4 linked regions of the Cricetulus griseus genome follow. Each later gene encodes a partner of the first gene's protein in a complex. Links are inferred from orthologs where the notes say so. Each region holds a gene or a part of one and is shown in the gene's direction. Other genes may lie near its edges. The genes, in order: Ing3, Mbtd1, Anp32e and Vps72.

Evidence for each region.
Region 2: Ing3 (region 1) and Mbtd1 share a complex: the UniProt entries of both Homo sapiens proteins name them as parts of the nuA4 histone acetyltransferase complex. The link is inferred for Cricetulus griseus from reciprocal best matches to the Homo sapiens genes ING3 and MBTD1.
Region 3: Ing3 (region 1) and Anp32e share a complex: the UniProt entries of both Homo sapiens proteins name them as parts of the SWR1-like complex. The link is inferred for Cricetulus griseus from reciprocal best matches to the Homo sapiens genes ING3 and ANP32E.
Region 4: Ing3 (region 1) and Vps72 share a complex: the UniProt entries of both Homo sapiens proteins name them as parts of the nuA4 histone acetyltransferase complex. The link is inferred for Cricetulus griseus from reciprocal best matches to the Homo sapiens genes ING3 and VPS72.

What each region holds. Positions count from the first base shown.
Region 1 is NW_023276806.1:205,238,812-205,246,083, reverse strand, and holds part of Ing3 (inhibitor of growth protein 3), read left to right. Parts: intron 1-27; coding exon 28-147; intron 148-433; coding exon 434-591; intron 592-1,083; coding exon 1,084-1,277; intron 1,278-3,021; coding exon 3,022-3,214; intron 3,215-4,995; coding exon 4,996-5,034; intron 5,035-6,807; coding exon 6,808-6,924; 3' UTR 6,925-7,272. UniProt on the Homo sapiens protein: Component of the NuA4 histone acetyltransferase (HAT) complex which is involved in transcriptional activation of select genes principally by acetylation of nucleosomal histones H4 and H2A.
Region 2 is NC_048600.1:106,795,511-106,803,242, forward strand, and holds the start of Mbtd1 (MBT domain-containing protein 1), read left to right. Parts: upstream 1-2,764; 5' UTR 2,765-3,003; exon of another isoform or gene 3,004-3,007; intron 3,008-3,056; exon of another isoform or gene 3,057-3,298; intron 3,299-3,953; exon of another isoform or gene 3,954-4,014; intron 4,015-7,732. Other genes in the region: Utp18 (U3 small nucleolar RNA-associated protein 18 homolog), read right to left, coding at 592-704, 2,213-2,596. UniProt on the Homo sapiens protein: Chromatin reader component of the NuA4 histone acetyltransferase complex, a multiprotein complex involved in transcriptional activation of select genes principally by acetylation of nucleosomal histones H4 and H2A.
Region 3 is NW_023276806.1:60,583,463-60,591,419, reverse strand, and holds the start of Anp32e (acidic leucine-rich nuclear phosphoprotein 32 family member E), read left to right. Parts: upstream 1-2,559; 5' UTR 2,560-2,883; coding exon 2,884-2,937; intron 2,938-5,086; exon of another isoform or gene 5,087-5,106; intron 5,107-5,855; coding exon 5,856-6,005; intron 6,006-6,839; coding exon 6,840-6,962; intron 6,963-7,957. UniProt on the Homo sapiens protein: Histone chaperone that specifically mediates the genome-wide removal of histone H2A.Z/H2AZ1 from the nucleosome: removes H2A.Z/H2AZ1 from its normal sites of deposition, especially from enhancer and insulator regions.
Region 4 is NW_023276806.1:61,378,649-61,385,511, reverse strand, and holds the end of Vps72 (vacuolar protein sorting-associated protein 72 homolog), read left to right. Parts: intron 1-560; coding exon 561-713; intron 714-1,109; coding exon 1,110-1,224; intron 1,225-2,127; coding exon 2,128-2,304; intron 2,305-3,114; coding exon 3,115-3,259; intron 3,260-3,996; coding exon 3,997-4,384; 3' UTR 4,385-4,483; downstream 4,484-6,863. UniProt on the Homo sapiens protein: Deposition-and-exchange histone chaperone specific for H2AZ1, specifically chaperones H2AZ1 and deposits it into nucleosomes.

The sequences.
Region 1 (7,272 bases):
CTGTGTGAATTCTTTCTTTTTATTCAGAAAGGAAATATAATCCAACTTCTCACCATACAGCAACAGATCACATCCCCGAAAAGAAGTTCAAATCTGAAGCTCTCCTGTCCACCCTCACGTCTGATGCTTCTAAGGAGAGCACACTGGGTAAGTTGGTGCTCTTCAGTGTGGTAATTCCCTTGTTTTGTTTGTGTTGGAGTAAGGGCACAGAGAAGCACTCAGGGTTATTATTCATACCTGTGTTACCTGGCTAAAGTCTGCATGTGGATGGAGAATAGAAAAGGAAATTTGGCTTCCGTTTTTTCCATTGACTCAATCCCTAAAGTGCCTGAAGAATTTAAATTTCATGATTATATATGCTGAAAAATAATGTATTTTAAACCCGCAACATTGTGTTCTCAGCCCCCATTTTTATTTCTTTACCTCTTTACAGGTTGCCGAAATAATAATTCCACAGCTTCCTCCAACAATGCTTACAATGTGAATTCATCCCAACCCCTGGCATCCTATAACATTGGTTCATTATCTTCAGGGACTGGTGCAGGGGCAATCACCATGGCAGCAGCTCAAGCAGTGCAAGCAACAGCACAGGTGAAAAGTCAAAGGTTTAGAGGCAAATGTTACCTTTTGCTCCTGTTCTTGGCAACCCCCAATAGGAACCACTAGGTTCGAAGTGACGGGTTGAAGACATTGCCTGGTTTCGGTTTGAAGTTGACATTTAGGCTGGGTGTTGTTTTATTAATAATGCAAGGGGTTGTTGGGTAGAGAGTGCACTGTGGGTATCACACGCCCACCTTCTCCCAGTCAGTGCTCAAGTAGCCTGGTTCTCTTTGTGAGGACAGTGACTGTTCTTTCTGCAAAGTTAGGCTTCTGCTGGATTTGTGGTGGCTGCATTTAGCTCATTTCTGTAGTTTGCACACAGTGCAAGTTAAGAAGTTCCATTTCCCATAGTTTTTCTCAACTTAGCATAAAAATGATTTAGCATCTTTACATGAAATGACTTAAGTAACCATAACTTGTAATGCTTAAAAGAGAAAATACATATTTACATATATTAATGCTGTCAATGCCTGTCTACTTAAGATGAAAGAAGGACGAAGAACATCAAGTTTAAAAGCCAGTTATGAAGCGTTTAAGAATAATGACTTTCAGCTGGGAAAGGAATTTTCAATGCCCAGAGAAACAGCTGGCTATTCCTCCTCATCGGCACTCATGACAACCTTAACCCAGAATGCCAGTTCCTCAGCAGCTGACTCGAGAAGTGGCAGGAAGAGCAAGTAAGTTTTGGAGTGGAAGTGTGTGCCTTTGCTCAGTGCTGTTTGCATGGAGCCTCAGCTGGGCCTTTAGGAATTAAGTAAGGCAGGGTGCAGTGACCCAAGCAGACTGCTGGCGTGGGCAGATGGCTGGTGGCACTGCCTGACCTTGAAGGCTGGCAGTTGTTTAAGTGTTAAAGTCATTTGTAATTTTTTTGGACTTTGCATATAAGTGACTTTTTTTTTACTTTCTTTTGTTCAAGATAAACCATTTTATGGTACTGTTTCCATTTTTAGGTATTTCATGGTTAATTAATATAAAATGCAAATTGTATTCCAGGAAGTTTTTCCTTTTGATTAACAGTAAAACATCTAAATTTTTGCTGATGTCCTGAAAACTGATTACATGAAAATGTCCCTAGATTTGGTATGTGAGAGACTTAGGGTGATTGTGTGAACTGTGGAAATGAAACTTTGCCATGTTCATCTAAGGTAATAGATACAGCAGGTATTTATACAACTGAAATTCAAGCCAGGAGTGGTTGGTGCCTAGTACTTGGAATGCAGAGGCAGGAGGATTACTTTAAATTCAAGGCCGGCCTGATCTACATAGGAAGTTCAGGCCAGCTAAGGCTACAGAGCAGACGCTATTATCTGAAGATAAAAAAAGGTGCAAGTGCTAGGCCAAAAGAATTAATTATCTTACAGGAAACAGTCCACAGAATCAACTAACCAGGGCTCCTAGAGGCTCAGAGAGACTGAACCTACAATCTGGGAGTATACATGACCGTGGGATCGGAGGCTGTCTCTGGCTTTTTTTTTGCCTACTTTGGGGACCCTTTTCCTCCTGCTGGGTTGTCTTGTCCAGCCTTAATATGAGGGGATATGCCTGGTCTTATTGCAACTCGATATGCCATGTTTGTTTGATACCCAGGGAGGCCTGCCCTTTTCTGAAGGGAGACTGAGGAGGAGTGGACCTGGGGGAGAAGAGAGGTGAAGGGAGGAGAGGTTAACTCCTATTGGGAGTCTTCTTATGAGAATAAATAAAAAGGAAAAAGGAATTATCTAATAATTGTATTTTAATTTTATTTTTAAATGTATTACTTCTCTGCAAAATTCCTGAAAGACTAATCAGTGTAAAATATTCACAGAACTATTATATATATTAAAATTTATAGAATTGCCCAAATTTAATTTAACTCCTTATAGTAAGTTTCTGCATTTTAGAACTCTTGAATAGAGTTGGTGGTAAACAATTCATGAATTTTGACAATCTCAGCTCCATGTTCTAGACATGGTAGGCATAGGGCACCTACCCCTGATGTTGTAAGGATTTTTACCAAATACCAAATGTATATTTGCATTTAGGATTTTGATGAGAACTGTTCAGTTTACTGTGAAAATATAATATGATATAGTATAGCTACTACCAGAAGTTTTAAGTCAACAATAAATAGTAACTTTAATTTAGAAATTATTTTTAAAAGTTGAAAACATTTTAAGAGAATTTTCTCCTATTTATTTTAAATAGAGCATTTTAAAGTATTTTCTTCTCATTATTTTTATTCTCCAGAAATCAAAAATTGTAAATAAAAATAAACTATTACCAACAGTGTTGCTTTTCTTTGCTCTGGGAAGTTGCTTCTGAATGAGATTCTGTAACGTAGCATCAGGCATCAATGTGTCCTTTCCTTTTATGTCAGTTACTAGGAGTCAGTCTTAGGGGACCAAATGTGATAATAAAACTGATCTTTAATTTTATTTCCAGAAACAACACCAAGTCTTCAAGCCAGCAGTCATCTTCCTCCTCTTCCTCTTCTTCCTTATCTTTATGTTCGTCATCTTCAACTGTAGTACAAGAAGTCTCCCAGCAAGCAACAGTAGTGCCCGAATCTGATTCCAACAGTCAAGTTGACTGGACCTATGACCCAAATGAACCTCGGTACTGCATCTGCAATCAGGTAAAAGTCTGATGCCTGTCTGTAAAAGTGCACAGAATAAATAAGAAGGAAGATAACTGTTCCATTTCCAGCACATTTTTTATTCTAGCTAACATCAAGAATGACTTATTTGCATAATTTTCCTCTTATAAAAGTAACATACTTGTTGTAAATACCAAGAATATAATCGTGAGTTACACAGAATGTCAGCCTTCCAATACAACCTGTAGTGAGACACTTTGATGTCGTACCAGTGTGTACCTTGCTATATCTTGGCTAATGTAACATACTACTAGCCAAGTGGCTTACCCAGCAGAAACTCATATCATGGTTCTGGAGACAGAAGAAATCCAAGATTATGGTGCTTGTTGATTAGGTTCTTAGTAAGACCACTCTTAGTCTGAAGACCATTGCCTTTTTAGCGAGTGTCCATGGATGAGAGACAGGGGCATCATACTGTACATATGTGCAAGCATATGCCAGCTTCATTGTTTCTTCTCATCAGATTTTGGCTTTATTTAACCATAACCACAGACTCCTCACAGACTCAATCTTCAGTTATATGGGGTTATGACTTCAAAATAGTAATTTTAAAGGAATACAAACATTAATTCCCTATCAGTTATATACACATAATATATATGGATATGGTATGTTTGTATGTCTATGACATAATTTATCTTTTGCTCACTAAAACAAGGTTCTTTTTAAAATTTTTTCAAAGCTAGCTCTTGTGCTTTGTACCATAATTATTTAGTCTGTACCTAGCTGTAGATCATGTTACAGTTCTCATTTCTTTTAAATCACAGATATTATAAACATTATTTTTTAAAGATTTATTCATTATGTATACAGAGTTCTGCCTGTATGTATGCTTGCAGGCCAGAAGAGGGCACCAGATCTCATTATAGATGGTTGTGAGCCACCATATGGTTGCTGGGAATTAAAATCAGGACATCTGGAAGAGCAGCCAATGCTCTTAACCTCTGGGTCTTATCTCCAGTCCTAAATATCATTTTTAATGTAATTCCTTTTATACTAACTTTATATTAATCCATTCAAGTATAATGATGTTATAAATGTTTGATATGGTTTATCAAGATATATGTGTGTATACACATACACACACACACACACACACACACTATGTAAAATTGATATGCATAGCATTTCCTAAAGCCCAGTCAAGCACTATTATTTTTTTCTTAAATACAATGCACCAATTTGAAATTTTTGTATTACATGATCATTTTAGTGGGCTTTAGTATGTGTGCCTTTTAAACCATTTTATATTCTTATAAATTAACTTCTACCAGAGTTCGCTGTATTTTCTGTTGTTTTGTTATGTATGTTATTAATGTTTTGAGAGGCCCTATCTCAAAACACTACCTGGAGAGTCATTGAGGACACCTGCCTTCTCCCTCTGGTCTCAGTAGTAGACTCAGATGGCCTGTTGATGCAGAAGTGACCCAAGAGGAATAAAATCAGTCACTTGGTAGTTAGAGAGAAAGAAACTTTACAGTTTTACCATGAGGACTACCCCCACAAATCTGATCCTAGTCTGGGTGGCATACCTAGTGAATTCATTTAGACTTCCAAAGAGCCACAGTTCCTGGGCATATCCTCCTGCATTGTCCCATCGTCTTTTAAGAAAGACAACAACAACAATCACCATATTCCCAACTCCTTCGCTGTATTTTCTCTGTGAGTTTCTATCTGTTCTCTGACATCGTAAACACCTAATTTAGATTAGATACTTGTTAAGTAGTTATAATAAATTTGTCTAATTTTCTTTCAACTAGGTATCCTATGGTGAGATGGTGGGATGTGATAACCAAGATGTAAGTATTACATTTTCCATTTTGGAATGTAAAAAGTTGTAGATAATTGAATATTTGTCTTATTAACTATAATCTTCCAATCTGAAAATTGGGTTTTTGTTTATGATAACTATGTTATCATGATGGGAGCATCTACATGTCTACAGCAGGATTAAGTCCCTTCCTGAGTTCCCTGCTTAACGGTTTTCAAGGAAGTGTTACAGTGCTAGGTTCAGATTAAATTCTCAAGGTTTATTTCTGGCAATTCCAAGTGCTTTCCTTTCTTTCAGCTAAGATACAGTATTTGCTAAAGTCCAGGCCATTTACCACATTGAAGAAATGAGACTTTAAAGCCCTACATTCTTGTAGGTAGATGATGTCTGGGAATAATGAAGGCCTAATGGGATGTTGTTTCTCTCTCAGTATTGCAGCATTCAGCATTCCCTCCACCAGGGATTTATGCTGGTGCAAGCCATCTCTTCTCTGATGGGAAAATAAGAGGCAATATGAAGGAAGGTACTCCTGCTTCCTCTCTTAGGAGGTGTATCAGTTACTTGATAAGAATGCCCTGATGCAGAACAACTTACGGGAGGGAAAAGTTCTTCTTGCCTCACAGTTCCAGAGGGATACAGTGTGTTGTGGCAGGGGAGGCATGGCATCAGGAGTATGTGGTTGGCCTGGCCATCAGGAAGCTGCCTGATACTAAATAGTGTGCCCACACATGGGAAATAGAAAGGGGACAGCTAGCAGTAGTAGTAGCAGGGTATAAAACCTCCAAACCTACCCCCAGTGAAGTATTTTTAGCAAGGCTCCCTCTCCTAAAGATTGTAGAAACTTCCTAAACAGCTGGGGGCCATCTGTTTAAACACAGGAGCTTATCGGGGACAAACACAAACCACAACAGGGGCTTAATTTTGGTTAACTGCCTTACAGAAGAACCCCCTCTTTTAACCTCGAGGAGTACCTTGAAATCTGTGGCAGTAGTGACGCCAGTGGTATTGGAATCCTAATCTTACCAAGAGTGGAATTGTAAAATAGTCTAAAGAATAGCAAAGATGGCCTTGGTGCGGTGACAGTCATGTGTGTTTCCTCCCTGACAGGGTGGGTACAGTGTGTTCTTTAGATGGGCACAAGCCTTGAGCAGTTGGGGGCAGGGAGCTCCAAGCAGGGCTACCCCTACATTTCCAGAGCAGCACCCTGTTAGGTCTCTGGCAGCTAGAGAAGATGCTGACTGAGAGCCCATGTCCTCTGGGGTCCCGCTGCTTCCTCCTGTGCAGTGAAGTCTCTGAATGTTTCACAGAGTATTTTCCCCATATCTCTGAGTAGAGCACCAGAAAGGAAGCACAGCCATCCCACCTGATGTCTTTAGTTACCGATCACTCATTCCACTTCCTAAGAGAACAATTATGTCTGAATATCTTTAAATCTTTCACGTATTTCCCTTCTTCATGTAAGATCCATCTTCCTCTGTCCTTGGAGGTTGGTTCTGTCTGGCTGTCCAAGTTGATGACGCGGAGTGAATGTTCATTCTTTAGTGTTCAGGTCAGAGAAGCCTAGAGCCTCCTTTTTATCAAAGAAGCATCCTTTCTCTGGGCTTCCATTTCTTCGTCCATGAGCTGGATCAGCTCGGTAGCCTCTAAGGCACAGCCAGGATCCAAGAAATATGATTTCATAAATCTAATTTTGGTCAAATGAAATACTCTGTCTCCTGAGAGTTTTTTTACTGTCTATTCTTTAGACGTAACAACACTTTCAACACTTTTTTTTTTTTTTTTTTTTCATTTTGCTTTCCAGTGTCCAATAGAGTGGTTCCACTATGGGTGTGTTGGCTTGACAGAAGCGCCGAAAGGGAAGTGGTACTGCCCACAGTGCACCGCTGCCATGAAGAGAAGAGGCAGTCGGCACAAATAGAGTGCTTCCCGGAGGAAGGAAAAACTGCAGCTTGGCATTTTATTCAGGACTCTAGAAAGAAAGACACGAGAAAGAAGAAACAACTCATTTCCAGGCAACCACTTAAAGGATTTACATAGACAATCCTATAAGATCTTGAACTTGAATTTTATGAGTTGTATTTTAATAATGTAAGTAAATTATTTATGCACTCCTGGTGTGCTATGAATATTATTCCAGTTAGCCTTGGATTATTTCTGTGGCCAACATATGCAGACATTTGTACTCCTCAACCATTTTCTCAAAGTAATGGGCATTCTATAATTTAGACTTCAAAGAATTCCAACGATGAAGATTTTAAGAAAGTAT
Region 2 (7,732 bases), on another chromosome or scaffold:
GAAATGAAAAATAGAAAAATTCATTTGTTCAATAAATTTTTGATTCATACAGGGACAACACAGCCATTTAAAACTGTTCATAAAGGTGTTTCTTCAAAAGTGAGGTGCCATGCTTCAAATATAACTTTTAGATAGAAAAGGTAAAACTGTTAAAGTAAGTATGTAGTATACACTCACATAATACAGTGTGCTAACTTTATGTCACGTCTTCACTGAGTTTCAGGCACTATGCTAAAAATTCTATATGCATCACTTAAATCTGAAGGGCCTTCTGCTACAGTCACTATTCTGACACTCATTTTACTTATGAAGAGGTAGAGATTCCAAACTTGTCCTGAGGTAGTCAGGAACCAAAGGCAAGCTAAGATCTAATGCCACTGATTACTTAAGCAGTCTATCCTGCACACAGACAAGGAAAGACAATTTAACAGCGCCTTTCTTTCAGACACAGAATTGTGAACCACCTTTTTCCTGCACTTCCATATGTTCAATTCTTCATGTAATCATACTTTCCAAGACAATGGCTTGTAAAAATCTACAAGTTAACTTTTAAAGTGTCGGGAGGGATTCTGAAAGGAATGGGTAACTTACATTTCCTCATCTTCATCATCTTCATCCACCCAAACTGGCTTCTTCTGAGAAGGAAGAGTGTCTTTGGCTTCATCTTCCACTTCAGAGTCATCGGAGCTTCCATGTAGGTGACCCTAAGGAGACACACCATCCTTCAGGCTACTGTGCTTTTCCTATGGGGTGGGGGCAGACACCCACACCTTAGACTTAGATGGCTTGTAGAATGCTTTGCTTTCCTGGTCTGTTGATGAAATAATGTAATGGAATACGACCATAGCACATGCTGAAGGAGAAGGCAGGAAATGAGATCAAAACCACCAGGAAGAGTGGGCAGGAGGAGCAGGATGGAACAGTCAAGGAGAGGCAAGCACACTGAAAGGAAAAGACCACAGTAGACCAGGGAAAAAGGTAAGTGGACAGGTAAAGAACAAACCTCTAAGCTTCAACTATTAAATAACCCAGGGCCATCTAGAATCCCACAAAACATAATCTGTCTCCTACCCTTATAAGGAGGGTCTCTTGTTCTGTGTGCTTGGTCTCAACCTCCTTAAAATTTCATGCAACATTCAAACCTAAACATACTCCACAAGAAAAAATAAAATCCCCTCGAAATGAACCGAGCTCTCCCCCAACCCACACCACAGTGCCCAAGAAGTCAATGACAGTATCCACCTGCACTACTGACGTAAGGTCTTTCAAAGCCCACCAAAGGATTCCTTTCTGTCACACAGCTCGGAAAGTAACTGTTCTCCACCTCCCAAAGGAGACTGCTACATCCTCTCACTGAAGCACCCACACAAAAGGTCAGCTTAATTTAGCAAATGCTGGCATTCTTACTGAGGCGTTTCAACAGCCCTAGCTAAATTTAATTCCCTTTCCCAAATGTTTTCATTTTCCTCTCCACCATCGTACTCCTTTACCTTGTTTTTCTACCGCTACTAACACAAGCTCCATGAGATCAGGGGTTTTATTGGCTTTCTCCATTGCTGTGTCTCCCTCCGGTACCTAGAACAATACCTGGGACGCTCTACCTTAGACGGGGGACCCGGTACAGAACGAAAATAACGACAGCGCAAAACTGTATCAATCACGAAGGATTTATAACTGCTACGAAGAACTAGCATCCAAAAAAAAAAAAAAAAACCGTTATAGTCGAATACACCGATCATTCTCAAAAAAGTTGGGCGTGTGTCTCACACGGAGAAATTATTAAAACGCAGCTCTACGCCTTCCGCCCACGCCATTGGCTCCATCCACGAAATGGACTCGCGACAGGTGAGCACACCGCTACCCCGGGGGGTGGGGGGGAGGTTCCAGCAGAGGGTTATCAGAACCCGAAGATGCCCAACTCTCCAGTTAGCAGGCAAACCTTCTGGCAATCAAGGCAGCAGCTGAGCGCCTGCTGGATGCCAAGGGCCGCGGCCCCTTTAGGGCGGAGAAAGACCGCGTCTCCGCCCTCGCCCGCTCGCGGCCCAGCGCCGGAGGCGGAGAGCGCAGCGGTGCCCCCTCGGCGCCCGCGGTCGGACGGTCCCTCCCACCTGAGCGCTCGCCGCCGCAGGTCCCCAGGCTCCGCCCCCGGGCCTCGCCTCCCGCCGCGCACCGGCGGCAGCGTGTGCCCGCTCCGCGAGCAGGCCTCCCTCACCCGCGAGCTCCGCAGCCGCCGCAGCAGCGCGTCCTCGTCGTCCTCGACGTCGCCGAAGACCAGCTGCTCCAGACAGCGCTCGGCGGCCGGCTTGTCGTCCTCGATCGTCAGGCGGTTGCGCTGCCGAAGCCGGCTCTCCTCCTCCGCCGCCGCCGCCGCTGCCGCCGCCGCCGTGACCGCGCTAGGGGCCGTCCTCTGCCCGGCCTGCGGTGTCCGTTGGGATGAACGAGCGGCCTTTCGGGGCGTGCCGCCGCTCCCGGGCCTGGCTTCCCTCCCCGGCATCGCGCCGGCTCTCCGGTCTGGTTTCGTCCGGCTCCTGCGTTCCGGCGGCATCCTCAGGTCTGAGGAGAAACGCAGACGTTCACGTGGAGCACCACTGCGCATGTGCCGGGGCGTCTCGCTCCCCGCCGCGGCCCAGCCCCGGGGAGCCGGAAGGAGCCTGCGCCGCCTCGCGCCACGTGACCGGCACTCACGCGCTACGTCACTCGCACTCCGTCCGACAGCCCCTCCCCGTGTGGGAGTTCCTCAGGGAAGGCCAATCTTCCGGGTGTAGGGGGAAGCGGCGTGACTGGGGTGGAAAATTTTCCCAGCACAACTTCTCAGAGGCAGCAATATTGGAAGGGACTCAAGAGGGCCGGAGTAGAAATGAAAGTGGCTGAAAGAAACTTCTCTTCCTGCTGACTCCGGGCCCCACGCCTTGCCGCGAGCCCTCATTACCTCATCGCCTTCTGGTTTTGGTACGGTCCTTGAGTACGGAGCCTGCCGAGGGTCCCACGCTGGAGGGGAGAGAGGTGGGTACGTGGGGAAGTGGGCCAATCGGGGCGCGGGTCACGGCGCAGGCGCGCTGGGGAGGGAGGGCTATGCTAATGTTGTTGATATCCTGGGGCCACCCGAGTTAAAGGGGGGAAATCCGGGGGCTGCCACTGCCGCCACTGGCTCGGGCCCAGCCGGGGGTCCCCCCCTGTAGTCGCCGCAGTCCCGGGGAGAGGTGCCCGCCCCCTGCTCGGGGGGGAGGGGGCGCCGCGGGCTCGGGGAGCACGGACGGCCCCTACCCATGAGGCCCTGATGGAAAACACAAAGGATCTGGTGAGAGCCGAGCGCAGCAGCCGCTTTGTGTGCCAGGTTTGGGGGGGGGACGCCTGCAGCTGCCCGGCCCCAGGAACCCCGCAGCTCCGGGACCCCGCTCGCGGGCCTGTTTCTTCATCCCACGCCCCCTCCATCTCCAGAGCTCCCCTCCCCCTGCTGGCCGTTAAACGTTCAAGGGGTTCCCCTCCCCCCTCAACTTGTGACTTGGGGTTCTCTCTACTCTCTGGGAGGAAAAAAAAAATTGAGAAGAATTGAGAAGAAAGTTTTTCTCTGCCCTCCCCCCCACCCACCTGTTCTGGCTGAAGAGAAAGGCTAGATCGGAGGAGAGTTTCCTTTTTTTTTTTTTTTTTTTAAGCTGCCAACGGTGGGAGAGTGGTGTCCTCCCTTCTCTGGGGTGTGGGGGCAGGCGCAATCAGAGTTTGAAGGCTTTGCAGGGGAAGGTGCCCACTAGTGTGGGGCCAGTGCCGTGAGGCATTTTGCACGTGGAGGTGCTGATATTGAAAGGGGGCGGGGTGGGCACGTGTGGGAGGGAGACGTAGGAGTGGTGTCGGGGAGTCGGCGGCCGAGGCTGCTGCTTCAGAAGAGTTCCAAGGCGGTGGTGGGCTTCCATCATCCTTTCGTTCTCCTTTGTGAACTAGTAATCCTAACATTTCAGAGTCGGAAGAGACACTAGAAGTCACCCCAAGCAGCCGCCCCTGTCCAGCTTCTGACAAGTGGTAGGTAGTCTGACCTCTACTTAAACCTGCATACATAATGACACGCACTGCCGCCCGCCGAGGAAAGCACCTTCCATTATTTTCAGTCTTTCTGATAACGATACTCGTTTGTCTGCCCTTATTAGACCCTTCAGCCTCATTCATGTCCTGGTTAAGTTGCTCCCTTTTTTACTTCTCAAATTTGTTCTCACATCCTCCTCACCCACCCACTGCTCATTGGCCTATATTTTCCTGCCAGGAAAGAAGAGCAAGGAAGTGGAGGAAGGGGGGTGGGGAGAGTTAAGAGATAGTGAAGGCCAACTGAAAACTTTGCCTGCCGGGTCGGTTGCAAGTGTGCTGCTTACATGACTAAAGGTAGTTGATAGTATTCTCGGGAAGCTAGAGAATGTCTACGTGGGGATTTCATGGTTGTCTCGCTGGTATTCTTGAGATTAGGAATTTTAACTCCATTTCCTTAGTACTGCCAGTTACATTTGCCTGTGCCTGAATCACTTTTCCTAAGAATGTCTAAAATTGGGCCTAGAAAGGAATAGTGTTGAAGCTGATGAAGGCAATTACCGGTAAAACAATCAAAACTGTTCCTTCCTATCGATTTGACTTGTGGTCTTTGCAAACCCAGCCCCCTACAAAAAGGGAAGGCTGTGCAGCACAAAGGGTTGTTTTGTTTTGTTTTAACATTAGTGTATTATGGGATAGCGCATGCTACATTGGGGGGGGGGTCAGAGGACAGGTTGAAGTCATCATCTCAACTCCCATGTGGGACCCAGGTATCAAACCCAGGTCATCAAGGTTGTCGGCAAGACTTTTACCTACTGAGCAACCTTCCCCCCCCCAACAATTCTTATATGAAACTTAAAGTGTTTATAACACTTTAATGTTTACTTTTGAGTTTTCAGTATTTTTAATCATCTCTACATTAATATGCAGCAGAATTTGTCACCTAGTAGTTCACTTGAAAATACATATTGGCACCCACTGATGTGCTTAACTCCCAGTATCTCCTGATACTGTTAAAGCAAACTTTTTCCTGTTCCCCAGCCTATGATAGAGCAGTTGCTTTGCTCTTGTGTGTTTCAGACTGTTTACCTCAACACCAAAGAGTGTTTAGAAAGAAAATAGCTGTTTTTGCACCACCTCCTCTGAATAACAAGTAGCTTCTATTTATATAGAACCCCATATTCAAGGATTGCAAATGCCTTGCAGATTAGGGCAAAAGCTGTCTTGAATAAGTGTCTGTTCATAATATCTTCTCCTGAGCCAAGGTTTTTAACCATTTTGTAACTTTGAGCTTGAATTTCCCTCAGGGCTAGTCACTAGTGGATCCTAGCTGTGAAAATTTACAGAGCTCTTTACTCATGTTTTCAAAGTTTGAGTCAGTATGGGCTTTCAAGTTTTTTTCCTGCTAACTTTAACATGAACTGTCATGACATAATTGGACTGACTTTGGAAGCGTTTGCATTCTAAACATACTAGACAGGAACAACTGGTTTTGGGTTTGGTTTTTTTTGTTGTTGTTTTTTTTTTTTTTTTTTTTTTTTTTGGTTGGTTGGTTTTTTATTGTTGTTTTGTTTTTGTTTTTTCCCCGAGACAGAGTTTCTCTGTAGCTTTGGAGCCTGTTCTGGAACTAGCTAGCTTTTGTAGACCAGGCTGGCCTCGAACTCACAGAGATCCTCCTGCCTCTGCCTCAGCTTCCCGAGTGCTAGGATTAAAGGTGTGTGCCACCAACGCCCGGCAACTGGTTTTTTGTTTGTTTTAAAGATTTTATTTATTTATTATGTATACAACATTCTGCTTCCATGTATATCTGCACACCAGATCTCATAATGGATGGTTGTGAGCCCCCATGTGGTTGCTGGGAATTGAACTCAGGACCTCTGGAAGAGCAGTCAGTGCTCTTAACCTCTGAGCCATCTCTCTAGCCACAACTGGTCTTATTTTTAAAGAGGGCATTGCTGTATTTTTATGGCTGGCTATACATGGATCTTATTATATTAGTCTTCCAGATATTCCAGTGTTCCTTCTTGTCCCTTAGTTACTTTTGTAAATTAAAAACAAAGCAAATTATGTTAAAATACAGTATTCAAACTAAAGCATAATTGTTGTTTATAAGTATAAATGGTATATTGATGTCATATCCTAAATTACCAAAATTACTAAATTACCAAAAGCCAGCAGTGCTCAGGTGATCTGAATAAGCACATTCTAAAATTAGAGAAGTCAATTGTTTTGAATTGCTCCTTATTTCTCACCTTTTCATCTTTAAAATTGTTTCCATGTCTATCTAAGCCAGTGGTGTTTGCCTCTAATCCTACCACCCAAGGAGCAGAGTATACAGCTTTACTTGGGTTATCTAGTAAAACTCCCCATTTCACAAAAACAACAGAAGATTTAACTAAGGACAATAAGTTGTCTTTAGTTTCAGGGTTTCAAATACATGACAGGAAAAACCATAAAGACAGAAAAGATTTTAAGTGTTTACAAACTTAGATTCATTTTCTAATAGGGTATCCTTAATGGTCCCAGGTAACTTTTATTTTTACTAAAGATGCATGTTTTATTATTATTATTATTTTAGATTATTGTGGAGTTTTTGTTTTGAGGTAGGGTCTCAGGTATCCCTTTCAGGCCTCAAACTTAAGTGTAGTTCATAGGTATGTACCACCATATCTAGCTTATGCAGTGGTGGTAAGTGAGCCCAGAACTCCTGTGTGCCTGAGCTCTGTTACTGACACTATATCCCCAGCCAAGAGCTTACTATTTCTTAATCCTCAATTTTTTTATTAAGTATCCCCCCCCCCATGAATTTACAGTTTCTCTTCTGGCTTTGCTAGAAAGCATAATGAAAGATTAAAAGGCTATAAATTGGCTTGAATAAACCCTGAATGTAAGAAAAGGGGTGCAGTGGTAGTCAGGGGAACAATGGTCAGAAGAGGCTTGAGTTGCACTTTTGCCACTGTTTAGCCCCATGGCTGTGGGATGGCATCAGATGCCTTGATTTTTCTCCTTATAGTTGAAGGATTGGTATAGAATCATTTGTTGATGTCTAATAGAACTTTCTGCAGTCATGGAAATGTGTGTTATCTGTGCTAGCGAGTATGGAAGCCATCAGCCTTAGTGGCTATTGAACACTTAAAATGTAGTTAATGAATGGAAGCCTTTAGTATTTTATCATATTGTTTTCACTTAATGTCAACTTAAACAGCCATATATCTCCAAATTGGACAGTGTAATCACTGGTCTCATCTCTTGAAGACACTAGTTAAAAACACCCCTTTCCTGAAGGTGGTGGTTTTTAGTCCTACTATAACATTTGAGAATTTGTTGTAGGTCTGGTTTGGGATCTGCCTGTCTCTACCTCACTGTTGTGACCTCTTTTATGCGGTGCAGGAAAATCTGAACTTGAGTCCTAGGACTTGGGCAACAAGCACTCTACCATCTTCCCAGCCCAGTTTGATTTCTTGAGACAAAGTCTCATTTAATAGCCCAGGCTGGCTTTGAACTTGTGTTTGCCTCAGCTTCCAGATTACTAGGGTTTTAGGTGTGTCCATCAAGCCCTTCCAAGAATGTGTTTGTGTGTCCCAGAAAGTTTGTCTTAATAAATTAGTTAGGGAAACACTAAGTTTGGTTCTGAATTCCTTTCTGCTTTTCACTCTGACTTGAGTGTTAATTTAGAATTCAGTATTGTGGAAGTAAGGTCTGATTTGGCTGGCTCTAGCTC
Region 3 (7,957 bases), about 140 Mb from region 1:
TGCTGGGTATAGGGAATTTGCTACACTTTATCACTGAGTTTCTCTGTGTGTAGACCACATTTGCTCACTTATTGGCAAGCTGGAGAACATCTGGTCCGTGTCTAGGTTTGCAGTATTGAACCACTTTCAATGTTGACATACAAGGGTCATACTGTAAATGCATGTTTAACTATATAAGGGACCGCCAAACTTTCCCACAGTGACTATAGGGGTTGTCATCCCCACTAGATGTATACGAGAGCTCATTCTTGTTTTTGTGCATATGTGCATGCTGTGATGCAAGCAAGTGTGTGGATACAGACATGTGGAAGCCAGAAGACACCCTTACATGTCATTCCTCAGAGCCTTGCTTTAAAAACTTAATATTTAAATACTAAGATAATCTTAGAGATATATGAATGTTGCTGTTAAATTGACTTTCTCCCTTTAATTTGGTCAGGGATCCCAGCAGGTAAGATGCTACCACCCAAACCAGGGCGGTGGTGGCTCACACCTTTAATCCCAGCATTTGGGAGGCTGAGGCAGATGGATCTCTGTGAGTTCAAGGCCATCCTGGTTTACTCTCATCAGTTAAATCTCTCTGGAAACACTCTCGGAGACATACCCTCTAGGTGATTCTAAATCCAACCAAGTTGATGAGGAAGTTCAATCATCCTAACAACCTTGGCAAAAAATAAATTTATTAATAAGTAGGAAAATATACTTATTAACTGTATAACAGAAGAGCATATGAAAATTCTATAGCTAGGTTTCTTGCATTGAATGTGTCTGTCTTGTAACTGTGTACATTGGATTTGTAGGCTAGATTGCTGTGGAACTAGATGAATTCATATTCTTTTAGCATAGGCCAGGAAAAGTAGATACAAGCTTAAAGACCAAAGATCCACTTACCATGCTTTGTTGTGTTTATGGATAGTCTATAAATTCAGTGTCTAGCTACATACATAACATTATTATTGTTAACTATCCTAGCAGGGGTTAGATGAGCAGATATCTGTTTATTGTATCTTATGCCTAGTAGGAATATGAAACTGTAGAGGATGTCTATCAAGGTGGCTCAGCAGGTAAAGGTGCTTGCTGCCAAACCCGACAGCTTGAGTTTGAACCCAGGAACTAGCTCAGTGGAAGGAAAGCACTTGACTCCTGCAGGCTGTCCTCTGACTTCCTATACATCGCAAAATAAGTAAACAAGTGTAAAGAAGCTTGGCGATGTTGGCACACGCCTTTAATCCCAGCACTCTATCTTTCATTTTATTTTACATTTTTTTTTGGTTTTTCGAGACAAGGTTTCTCTGTGTAGCTTTCCTATCCTGGCACTCTCTCTGTAGACCAGGCTGGCCTCGAACTCACAGAGATCTGCCTGCCTCTGCCTCCCGAGTGCTGGGATTAAAGGCGTGCACTACCAACGCCCGGCTCAGTACTCATTTCTTACTTAGGTTTTCAGTTTTTGTTTTGAGATAGAGGCTGGCCTAGAACTCACTTTGTATACCAGGCAGTTCTGCCTGCCTCTCCCTTCGGAGGTCTGTGACCATTATGCTTCGTGTGTACCATTATGCTTCGAATTACAGAAACATTAAGTAGACTTTCTTTTTAAAATGTATTTGAGTGTTTTGCTTTAATGTATGCACACGCACATCTGGCCCTGGAGCCTGTGAAGGTCAAAAGAGGCTATTGAATTCCCTGGAACTGTAGTTATGGATGATTGGGAGCCCTCATGTGGGTACAGAACCAGGGTCCTCTGCAAGAGGACATCGTCTCTTCAGTGCCTCACATACACTTTAAAAGAACACTTTAAGTAGATTTCTGCAGGAAACTTACCAAAGGGAAATGGGAAATTGGAAATTGTGTTTTCTTTAGGCCCGTGCTGCTTTTCCTCCAAGGTCCCAACTATTTGCCAGCGACAAATGACCTCAGTATCAACTCCCACAGGACAGTTTTATTTAAAGGTTTCTGACTCAACGTGCTAAACTCAACTGCTTCCAGAGTCGTTTCGCCTTTGACAGTGGAAGTTAAAATACCTTCTTTATCACGCTCTGGTGAACGCCAGGGCCGTTCGAGACGGGGAGGTGTCCCGAACTCGCTGCTCTTGCGTTGAGTCCCTGGCTCACTGGGTAAGCCGCATAGCAGGGAGCTTGTGCTTTAAGACTACCGAAAGCTCTGGAGTGCGGTGCGCTGGATGACCGACCCGCTTACACCCTGGGGACGCCAGCGACGCCCTTTCCCTTCCTCTAACCCCGAAGCCAGAAAGCCCTCAAACAAACAAAAACAAATTCAATAGACAGCCAAACCGTCCCACTAGCGAGGGAAAGCGCGCCAATCACACAAAGAAAAGGAGGGGGGCGACTGGGATTCAAAATCGTTTCTCCGGGACGTACATCCTCCCGGACCTATCGGAATTAACTGCGCGCTTGCTCAGAGCCAATAGACCCCGAGTTTCTGGTCCGGGGCCCCCCTAACGACGGATGGGCAGTCCTCTAAGCCAATGGAGTGGCGCGACGCTAAAGGCTCGGCCAATGCAGTCGGGAGGTGGGTGGAGCGTAGGCCAGGGGGTTGGCGGTGCCGTGTCATGGAGGCTCAGTCTCGCAGCAGCCATTGAAGGGGAAGGAACTGCGGGCGGGCGCGCGCGTGTCTCTCTCTCTCTCTCTCTGTGTGAATGTGTGTGCGTGCCCGTGTGTGCGCGCGCGGGTGTGTGGACTAGAAGGTGGGGGCAGCCGAGTTAGTCCCAAGTCGTCGGACTCCATTTGCTATTCTTTTCTTTCTCCCCCACACCCGGGTGGTAGTGGGCGTTCGTCTTTGCGTCTCTTTTCATTCATCTCCAGACCTTTAGGGGTGTTTTAGGGTTGGGGGCAGTGGGGAGGGCAGGCGAGGGGAAAGGAGGAGGACATGGAGATGAAGAAGAAGATTAACCTGGAGTTGAAGAACAGAGCCCCGGAGGAGGTGAGATGACTCAGCCCCCACCTTCCCCTCCCGCCCTGTGTCGCGAGGGGTGGGCTTCGGTGGTCCCGGTGGGTGCGCGGGGCGGACTGGGAAACGCGCCCCCACTCGCGGTGGGGGCGGGGTGTTTATTTTAAGTTTTAAATCGCCAGGCTTCTTGTGCTTAAAATGGCGAAGGGCTTAAGTTTCTAGGGGCATTTTCCCGGGCGCGCGGGGGCTCAGCCCCTCGGCGTCCCCGCAGTCTGGCGGCCCGGCCTCGCGGGGGCGGGCGGCGTGGGCGCGACCCCCGGGCCTTCGCCACCTGCGAAGTTGGTGTAACTTTCCCGCGGTGCCGCCATTCGGCCGGCCGCGGCCCGGGGCGTGGGTCTCGGGCCGATCTGCACCCTGCGCTCCCTCCGGCGGTGCCCACTCGCGGGCGGCGCGCGCCGGGCCGGCGCCGGCGCCGGGCCCGGGCGGCGGCGGAATCCCGGGACCCGACGGCGCCGGCCGCGATCCTCGTGGCGCGCGGACCTCTCTACGCAAGCCCGTGGCTCGTGCGAGCCGCGCAGTGCCGTGTGCGGTCGTCGGGAAGACTCGCGGGCTGGGAGGGGCCCCCGGAGGCGTCGCCTTCGAGCCCCCCGCCGTCGGGTTCCCTTGCGGTTCCCGCCAGGTTCCTGGGTCGGAAGCTTGGGCCGCGGCGGGCGGTGACGGCGCCTGGGGCTCGCCGGTTCGCGGCTGCTTGAAGACGAGGGACAAGGGACCGGCGCTACGGTGGTCCCTTGACGCCCTAGCAAAGGCGCCGGTCTGCCCGGCCTTCGCAGTCACCGTGCAGAGCTACCCGTGCCTGAGCCCTGTTCTTTTCTGTGGCGGGTTTGCGGGTTTCTGCCGACTTCAGCCGAGAGCGAGGTGGAGGAAACATTGTTTCTGTAAGGGTTATTATCGCTGGGAGAACTAGAAGTTTTCTAGAGCTTTTTAGAAGATTCTGGAATAACTCAAAGTTAAAAAGCTGTCCATCAGCAGGGCATGGTGACTGATACCTGTAATTCCCAGCCTTTGGAGGCCGAGGTAGGAGGATGGCTGCAGGTGGGACTCTGTCGAGCAGGGCAAAACAAATCAAAACAAGCAGTTTCTCATAAGCCTTAGGTGCAAATGTGGGCCTCTTCCCGCATCCTTTCGCCTCCAATTTGGAGAATTGCGGGACATTGCCATGGTGTAGTAACAGGTTTATATAGACAGTTTATTTTTATTTATGTTTTTGGCTTTTTAAGACGGGGTTTCTCTGTAGCTCTGGCTGTCCTGGAACTCCCTTTGTAGACCAGGCTGACCTTGAACTCGGAGATCCACCTGCCTCTGCATCCCAAGTGGGCCACCACTGCCCGCTATATGGGCGGATTATAAAGTGCCCAGTTTACTTTCTCCTTGGAAAACTTGTAAACTGGGTTGTATTGTTTTAGAATCCAAATTTGCAAACAGGAGTCCCAAGACAGTGTAGTGGCGTATTCTGGCGGAAGAACTGGGTTTCTGACACTGGATGTACAAGGCCTCTTGCTGAGCTCTCTTAGCCCTGGATAAGACTGGAATCCAAAGGCTTAAGAGGTGCCTGGCGTGATAGTGCACGCCTTTAGTTCAGTTCTATAATCCTGACACTCCGGAGGCAGAGGCAGATGGGTCTCTGAGTTTGAGGCCTATCTGATCTACAAAGCAAGTTTCTGGTCAGCCAGGACTAAATAATGAAATGCTATCTCAAAAACAAATGAACCGGAGGGTGGTTTCACACACCTTTGGTTGCAGCATTCACTTTTAATCCCAGGGTTTGCAGGCACAGATATCTGAGTTCGAGGCCAGGCTGATCTACAGAGTGAGTTCCTGGACAGCTAGGGCTACACAGAAAAACCAAAACAAAAAACAAACAACGCAAAATAAAAAAAAAAAAAAAAGGCTTAAGAATCAAGACACCCCACCATACTGAGGGTGTGACCTATTAATGCAAGTCATTTTTTTTCTAGACCTTGGCTTCCTGGTCTCTAAAAGGGATGTTATGGTTCCATTTCTGCTCATTGGAATAATGATTGCCAAAGTTACACCCAAGTAGAGAAGATGGCATTTGTTGTTCCTGATTTTTAGCCTTTAAATAAACATTTTTGTACTGGGGACAGAGAACCAGGATCTGATTAGGTCTATTCAGGTGCACTGGTAAGTTTGTTACTACATCTGGGATCTGGGGTTGGAGTGATGCTCAGTAGTCAAGAGCACTTGTTCACATGGTAGCTTCCAACTGCTACCATTCCTTCTTCCACCTCGGAAGGCACCAGGTATGCATAGAGGTATCCATATGTAGGAAAAACACCTGTACACATAAAATAAAAATAAGCCTACAACTCAGATCTAATAAGAAACCCAGTTCTGAGCTGGAAAGATGGCTCAGGAATTAAGAGTACTGGCTGGTCTTTGGGGGACCAGGTTTGAATTCCTACAACCCACATGGTGGCTCAGAACTGTCTGTAAGTTCAGCCCTAGGAATCCGACACCCATTGCTTCCGTGGGCATTGCATGCACAGGGTACACAGACATACATGCAGGCAAAACCACTGTCTGTCTATCTGTCTTATCTACCTACCCATCAAACAAAACAAAAAAGTGACCCTCCCCCTTTACTACCAAGTTCCAATGTTGTGGTTGGTATTTTGGTTTGGTAGGTTTTTGTTTTTGTTTTTTTAAACAGGGTCTTTCTCTCTGTAGCTTTGGTTGACCTGGAACTATTTAGACCAGGTTGGCCTCGAACTCATAGAGATCCGCCTGCCTCTGCCTCCCGAGAGCTGGGATTAAAGGCGTGTACCACCAACGCCCAGCGGGATTGATGTTTTTAATATTTGTGTTTTTAGAGTGTTCAGACACAGGTCTATTGCTATGCAGACTAACTGTTAATATGTTTCTTCTGACAGGTGACAGAGTTAGTCCTTGATAACTGTTTGTGTGTCAATGGGGAAATTGAAGGCCTGAATGATACCTTTAAAGAACTGGAGTTTCTCAGTATGGCCAATGTGGAATTAAGTTCCTTGGCCCGGCTTCCCAGCTTAAACAAACTTCGAAAGGTGAGTTGGGAGTAGTTTGTGGACACCATGGTTTTTATGCTGAGGCTGGGTGGTGGTGGTGCATACCTTTAATCCCAACGCTCAGGATTCTTTCTGAGTTCGAGACCAGCCTGGTTTACAGAGCTAGTTCCAGGACTAGTAGGGCTGTTACACATAGAAACCCTGTCTCTAAAAACCAAAAAGAAAGAAAGAAGAAGAAAAGAAATCTTTAAATTTCTTGAGATAAGAAAAGGGAAGGAGACTAGAGACACGGTTCAGTGGTCAAGAGCACTGGCTGCTCTTCCAGAGGACCTGGGTTCAATTTCCAGCACACAATTCCCAGTCACAAATGTGACTCCAGCTCCAGGGGATCCAATACCCTCACACAGACACACATGCAGGCAAAACACCAATGCACATAAAATAAGAATAATTAGTTAACTAATTAATTAAAAAGAAAAGAGCTGGTCAGTGGAGACACATGCCTTTAATCCCAGAGCTCAGGAGGTGGAGGCAGGCAAATGTCTGAGTTCAAAGCCAGCCTGGTTGGTCTATAGAGTGAGTTCTGGGACACAGAGAGCGCTAAAAAACCAAATACCACCAAAAAGAAAGAAAGAAAGAAAGAAATGATTTTGGAATTAGTTTCAGCATTGCTTAGAAATTTAAATTAGACTGGATTTAGTATCTGCCACTATCCCTCATCAGAAAGAACCTCGGCTAAGCTACTGTGCAGGGTTCTGATCTGTTTTTCAGATAGATGGGAACTGAGGAAGTCAGAGAAATGACAAATGGTTTTCTTCAAATGGGTCCTCAGGCTTCATGATTCTTGGTTTTCTCTCCATGTTGAATCTGTAGTTGGAACTTAGTGACAATATAATATCTGGAGGCTTGGAAGTCCTGGCAGAGAAATGTCCAAATCTTACCTACCTCAATCTGAGTGGAAACAAAATCAAAGACCTCAGTACAGTGGAGGCCCTGGTGAGTAGAACCACTGTCTCTGGACTTCATTTTGGGATTAATTTATTTTATCTGGGGTTTGTTCATATTCTATTTTATTGATCTCTGTTTAAGTTTGGAGTTTTCTGAAATACCTCTTGTGATCCAGATGGCTGCTTTTCTTTAACTAAAATGTCCAGCTGGGCTTGGCACTCAACACTGAGGCAGAGGAGGAGACACCAAGGTGGAGCCTGTGCTGCAGTGAAGCCCTTCCTTAAAAATAAAGGCCTCAGCTGGGTGGTGGCGCATGCCTTTAGTCCCGGTGCTTGGGAGGCAAAGGCAGGTGGATCTCTGTGAAATTGAGGTCATCCTGGTCTACATAATGAATCCCGGGACAGCTATCTCTATGTAGAGATACCACTACATAGTCTCAATCAATCAAAAATAAAATAAAATAAAGGCCTCACTCAGTGCTGCTCAGTTTTAAAGGCACTTACCAGCAAGCTGGAAGACCCACTTCCAAAAGTTGTCTCTCTCTCTCTCTCTCTCTCACACACATACACACACACACACACACACACACACACAAGCTTGTGGCATATGCATGCATACTCCCCTTCAATATAATTAAAATGTAAAAAAAAAAATCCAGATAATTTTTGCATCATCAACAAATTAATTTATTTTTTCTGTTTTTATTTATTTTTTACATTCCAATCCCAGATTCCCCTTTCTTCTCTCCCCCGCTATTTCCCTCACCAGACAAATTTATTTACAAAGGACTTTACTCTGATTTTAAGTGTCAAATATCTTTTTAAACACCTATTTTTTCTTCTAAAATAAGGGGACACATAGTACCTTTTGAGGTACTAAGAGGTATTTTCTGATGATAGGAGCAGAAGATGAATAATATAAAAATGGAAAAAGGGTGCCCAGACTTACTTTTGTTTCATTAGAGTTGGCTGTGTGTGTGTGTGAGTGTGTGAGTGTGAGAGAGGACGACGTGTTACATTTTGTTTCATTAGAGTTGGCTGTCT
Region 4 (6,863 bases), about 140 Mb from region 1:
AGTTTTTTTGGGAATAGCATCTCTTATAACCCAGGCTTGACCTGAACCTCTAATTAGCCAAGGAATTTTATATCTATGTTTCCTTACTTTAGAACTTATTTATTTGTGTTTTTAAACTTATTTGTGGTTTTGTTTCAAATAGAGTCTCACTCTGTAGCTTATGCTGTCCCAGATCTCACTGTGTAACCCAGGCTCCCCTCAAACTCAGCAGTCTTCCTGCCTAGACTTCCTGAATGTGGGATCATAGTCATGAACTATCCTGACTCATGGCTCAGCTACAAGTTCTTGTCATAGCTAGTTCTATCCTTCAGTAAATGAGGCCAAACCACATCCTTTAGACCTCCAGTAATTAACATGGTGTTATAGATGATATAGGCCAGCTGTCTGTAACACTGGAAGGCAGGCAGTGTTACTCAACTAGAAACCATCAGAAAGGCTTTTTCTGTGAAAAGCTAAATGGGAAAGAATCCGAGAGTCACTGTCAGGGGAGTATTTTGATCCACTTCCTCCTCCAGGAGCATTAACAGAGCCAGTCAGTTCCCATCTTCCTTTGTCCTCAGGAATCTGGAGATGATGAGTATCAGGGAGACCAGTCTGATACAGAGGATGAGGTAGACTCTGACTTTGACATTGATGAAGGAGATGAACCATCCAGTGATGGAGAAGCAGAAGAGCCAAGAAGGAAGCGCAGAGTCGTCACCAAAGCCTATAAGGTACAAAGGAACCTTGTTTCCTTGGACACCAAGGAAACCTTTTTGGAGGTGGGAAGGTAGGGGTGGAATGGAGGGGGGACTTCTATTTGTCTGTTTGTTTGTCTCTTATTTATTTATTTGTTTACTTATTTATTTATTTTGAGGCAGGGTTTTCTGTGTGACAGTCTTGGTTGTCCTGGAACTCGCTTTGTAGACCAGGCTGGCCTTAAACTTGCAGAGATCCACCTGCTTCTGCCTTCCACGCGCTGGGGTTAAAGGTGTGCACCACCACATCCAGCTGCTTGGACTGTTTTAATTGTGTTCTCCTCTTGCTGGATGTTGGTTTTGTCTGATGAAATCCTCAACTTTACCCTTATCTCTTCTGTTTTCTGGTATCTGATTCTAATTTGTCCCCAGGAGCCTCTAAAGAGCTTGAGGCCTCGAAAAGTCAGCACCCCAGCAAGTAGCTCTCAGAAGGCCAGAGAGGAGAAGGCACTGCTGCCACTGGAGCTGCAGGATGATGGCTCTGACAGTAAGTTTAAATCTGCTGACAGAATTTAAATGTGATGATTAAATGTTCTGTCTGAACTAAGTTTACTAAGGTTGATAACTGTTTTGTCATGTAAGGAGGGTGTGTGTGTGTGTGTGTGTGTGTGTGTGTGTGTGTGTGTGTGTGTGTGTACATTCATGGGGACGTGTCTGTGTATCAGCCTACTTTATCGTATGTATGCTTGTATGTGCAGATGCATATAGAGGCCAGAAGAGCTAGAGTTGCAGTTTTGGGGGTGGGGCTTGTTACATGTGTGCTAGTGTCTGAGCTCCAGTGGTCATGATTGCTCAACAAGCACCTTAACCACTGAGCTAGCTCTTCAACTCGGGAAAATCATTATTCTTAGAAATAGACCTAGTCTGATGGTGCAGGCCTGTAATCATAACTACTCAAGAGGCTGCAGCAGGAGAATCACAAGTTCAAGGCCAACTTCTGTGCTATAGAGCAAGCTTGCCTGATAATTTAGTGAGAATGTCTCAAAATTAAAAATATGAAGGCTGAGTCAGGCAGTGGTGGCACACGCCTTTAATCCCAGCACTGGAGAGGCGGAGGCAGACAGATCTCTGTAAGTTCGAGATCAGCCTGATCTACAGAGTGAGTTCCAAGAGAGCCAGGACTGTTACACAGATAAACCCTGTCTTGAAAAACAAAACAAAACAAAAAAACAAAAGAAAGGAAATTTGTTTTAGTTGGGCGTGATGTTACATGCCTTTAATCCTATCACTGCAGAGGCTGGAGGATCTCTGAGTTCTAGGTCAGTCTGGTCTGCATAGTGAGTTCCAGGACAGCCAGGATTTTGGAAATGTGTTTTAAAAATTAAAAAAAAAGAAGAAGAAAGAAAGTAGAAATGAATTCAAAGAGTTCTTCCCATCTTACTTTCTGCAGGTCGGAAGTCTATGCGTCAATCTACAGCTGAGCATACTCGACAAACATTCCTTCGCGTTCAGGAACGGCAAGGACAGTCCCGGAGGCGAAAGGGTCCCCACTGTGAGCGACCACTAACCCAGGAAGAGCTGCTCAGGGAGGCCAAGATCACAGAAGAGCTCAACTTACGTTCACTGGGTCAGTCTGTGAGGTGCATGAGGAAAACTGAAACCTGGAGGACCAGACAAATGGAGATTGGAGGCAAAATGATTAGAAAGTTCACACTTACTAGTTCCGGCTCGTGGGGTGGCGGTGGTGCACGTCTTTAACCCCAGCACTTTCTGGGGAGCAAGAGGCAGGTGGATGGATCTCTGAATTCAAGGCCAGCCAGAGCTACATAATGACACCATGTCTCCACCCCCAACACACCTCAAATAAAAAAGGGAAACTGTCATCAGGAATTGTATTTCATCTGAAAACTGGACAGACTATGTCTGAGCCAGGAGCAGGTTGGTGGTCGTTTGGGGTTGGGAGAAATGGAAATCAGTGTGTTCCTATCACAAGGCCTCTTCCAGTATTGAGTGGGTAAGGACCTGCTTATATTTGAGAAAGGAAGGACTTCTATAGCTGGCCAGAGTAGCAGTGATTAGATTAATAATTAAGATCATAGGACAGGGCCTAGTGAGATCTGTGATAGCTCAGCAGGTAAAGGTACTTGCCAACAACCCTGTTGACCCAAGTTTGATCCCTGGAGTTCATATAATATAAGCAGGGAACTGACTCTGGCAAGTTGTTTTCTGACCTCTACATGCATGTGCACATGTGCGTGTGCAGATGTACTCGAGAGCGCACACACACACACACACACACACACACACACACACACACACACACACACACACACACACACACACACACACACGTAATTTAATAGATCACCGGCCAGAGCTACCGTGTGGGAAAAGATAGACTGATCCTTCCCTCGTTCTCCTGTTGATCCTCTTGCAGAGACCTATGAAAGGCTGGAGGCTGACAAAAAGAAGCAGGTTCACAAGAAGCGCAAATGCCCTGGGCCAGTAATCACCTACCATTCAGTGACAGTGCCACTTGTTGGGGAGCCTGGTCCCAAGGAGGAGAATGTGGACGTGGAAGGGTGAGTGAACCCCGTCTCCCTGGCTTCTCTTAGAGGTTACTTCCTCCTACAGACGTTTCTCATCCTTCTCTCAGCTTATTCCTTCCTGTTTTGTTTTCTTGAACAGTCTCACTGTGTAGCCCAGGCTAGTCCCAAACCCATGATCTACCTGCATCTTCCTCCTTAGTACTGGGATAACAATTGTGAGTCATCATGCCTTGTTTTTGTTTTGTTGATTTGTTTGTTTGTTTGTTTTGAGACAGGGTTTCTCTGTGCAGCCCTAGAAGTCTCTCAGTAAATCAGGCTGGCCTAGAAGTCACAGAGATCCACCTGGCAATAAAGGCATGCTCTACTACCTCCCAGCATTTTTATTTTATTTTATTTAAATGTAAATCAATATTTTACCTGTACGTATGTCGGACCTGGTGCCCATTGAAGCCAGAAGAAGGAGACAGATTTCTTGGAACTGGAGTGACAGGTGGTGTGAGCCGCTGTTGGGTGCTAGAAGTGAAACCAATTTCCTCTGGGAGAGTAGCTGGTGGTACTCTTAAATGCTGAGTCGTCTTTCCAGCTCCCTGCCCAGCTTTTTGTTATTGAGACAGGTACTTGCTCTGTCTCTCCAGTGGCTTGAAGCTCAGGGGAGTCATCTTCCCTCAGCCTCTCAAGTACTGACAATACAGCCATGTACCACACCACACCCAGCCTGATTCCTTGCCTTCTCCTCGGCATTTTGTAATTTTTCTGTCTTTTGCCCTCAGACTTGATCCTGCTCCTACAGCTTCTGCACTGACTGCACATGCTGGCTCTGGACCTGCTGTCCCTCCTGCTCACTGCTCACGTACCTTCATCACATTCAGTGATGATGCAACATTTGAAGAGTGGTTTCCCCAAGGGCGACCCCCAAAGGTCCCTGTTCGGGAGGTCTGCCCAGTGACCCATCGTCCAGCATTGTACCGGGACCCTGTTACAGACATACCCTATGCCACTGCTCGAGCCTTCAAGATCATTCGTGAGGCCTACAAGAAGTACATCACTGCCCATGGACTACCCCCTGCTGCCTCAGCCTTAGGCCCTGGCCCCCCACCCCCTGAGCCACTCCCTGGCTCTGGACCACGAGCCTTGCGTCAGAAAATTGTCATTAAATAGATTCCTGCTCCATAGAAACGTCTTTCCTCTGCCGACCTGGCTCTCAGTTCCTCCTCTTCCCTTTGTCCTCGATGAGCTTTGCTGTTTTTTTTTTTTTTTCACCATTTCTTCTCCTAGTTCATTCTGGTTTTGTTAGAATGTTGTTTTCTTTTTTTAATCTAATAAAATGGTAAAATCCTTTTTGTATGGTATGAATATGTGAGTGTATTTGTCTACTTGGGTTGTTTAATTTTGTTTGTGCTAGGATTGAACGCATGGCCTTGTTCATGCTGGACATGTGGTTCACTACTGGGATACCCTCTCACCTTGTTTTCTCACTCTTTCCCTTCTTCCCTCCCCTTTTTCTCTCTTTTGAGATGGAGGTGTCTGTATAGCCCAGGCTGGCCTCAGCTAAGATCTCCCTGCCTTTGCCTCCCAAATGCTAGAGGTAGTCTTGGCTGTCACACCTGTCCTTAGGCCTTTTTATTGTTTGATAGCACTTGATGATATGAGCTGTTGTTTGTTTTTGTCTATAGATGTTTTGTCTGCATGTATGTGAATACAGTATTCACATATGTACATATGATATACACAGAGGCCGGAACATGAGATTGAATCCCCTGGAATGAAGTTACAAACAGTTGTAGCTGCCATGTAGTTGCCAGGTGCTGGGGTCCTCTAGAAGAGCAGCCAGTGTTCTTAACTTTGCCACTTAGCCATTTCTCCAGCTCCTCCTCCTCTCTTCTTCCTCCTCTTCCTCTTCCTCCTCCTCCTCCTCCTCCTCCTCTTCCTCCTCTTTTTGTTGTTGTTTGTTTTTGTTTTTTGAGACAGAGTTCCTCTGAGTAGCCCTAGCTGTTTTGGAATTCCCTCTGTAGGCCAGGCTGGCCTCAAACTCACAGAGATCCACCTTCCTCTGCCTCCTAAGTGCTGGCATTAAGGCATGTGCCATCACCACCCACCCTTTTTTTTTTTTTTTTTTTTTTGAGACAGGGTGTCTTAGGGTTTCTATTGCTGTGAAATGACACCGTGACCATAGCACCTCTTTCAAATGAAAACATTTAGTTAGGGTGGCTTACTTAACAGTTCAGAGGTTCAGTCCATTATCATGGTGCGGTATGGCTACATACAGGCAGACATGGTGCTGGAGAAGAAGCTGAGAGTCCAACATCTTGCAGGCAACAGGAAGTGGTCTGATTATTACACTGAGCAAAGCTTGAGCATGTGTGAGACCTCAAAGCCTGTATCCACAGTGACACACTTCCTCCAAGGCCATACCTACTCCAATAAGGCCACACTTCCTAATAGTGCCACTCCCTTCGGAGGCCTTTTCTTTCAAACACAGCATTTCTCTGTGTAACAGCCCTGGCTGTCCTGGCTGTCCTGTTCTGTAGGCCAGCCTCAAACTGACAGACATCCACCTGCCTCCCAAGGGCTGGGATTAAAGGCATGCACCACTACTACCTGACTTTTTTTTTTTTTTTTTTTGAGTGATTTATTTATTTCATGTTTATGAGTGTTCTGTCTTTCTGGGCATCAGATCCCATTACAGATGGTTTGTGAGACACCACGTGCCCATGTACGTGCTGGGAATTGAACTCAGGACCTCAGGAAGAGCAGCCAATGCTCTTAACCACTGAGCTATCCAGCTTATTTTTCTTGGTTGTGGAGGGGGCGCAGGTTGAGACAGTGTTTCTCTGTAAAACAGTTCTTGCTGTCCTGGAACTTATGTTATAGACCAGTCTGGCCTCTAACTCACAGAGATCCGCCTGCCTCTGCCCATCGAGTGCTGGGATTAAAGGCTTGCACCACCACCGCCTGGCTCTTACTCTTTTTTTTTTTTTTTCCCATTTTTTTTAAGACAGGGTTTCTCTGTGGCTTTGGAGGCTGTCCTGGAACTAGCTCTTGTAGACCAGGCTGGTCTCGAACTCAGAGACCCACCTGCCTCTGCCTCCCAAGGGCTGGGATTAAAGGCGTGTGCCACCACCGCCCGGCTTCTTATTCTTATTTTTAGTTCTTGCTAAATTGTCCACGCTAATTTCAGACTCCTTGGATCAATCTTCAGCCTTAACCTTCCAAGTGCCAGGCCTAGAGGTGAAATCACTATTCCTGCTTTGTCCCAGCATATATTTATTATACAAAGTAATAATAAGCTTCATAAAGATGCTTTTATTCAAGCTGGCATATATTTTTTATTATACTTACCTGGGCTATCCATAAGTAATTCTAAAGTGTTTGTTCTTTAAAGTTAAATACCAAAACAAAATCCTTACATTGAGAGAGAGAGAGAGAGAGAGAGAGAGAGAGAGAGAGAGAGAGAGTGTGTGTGTGTGTGTGTGTGTACATGCGTGTGTCAGGGGTGGTGTGCATATGCAGAGGCCAACCAATATCTTCTGTAATTCCCACCCATTCCTTTGAGGCAGGGTCTCTTCCTGAACCAGGGGTCATTCTTCCTCGGTTATCAGAAGCCAGAAATTCAGAAGCCAGAAATTCCCCAGTGACC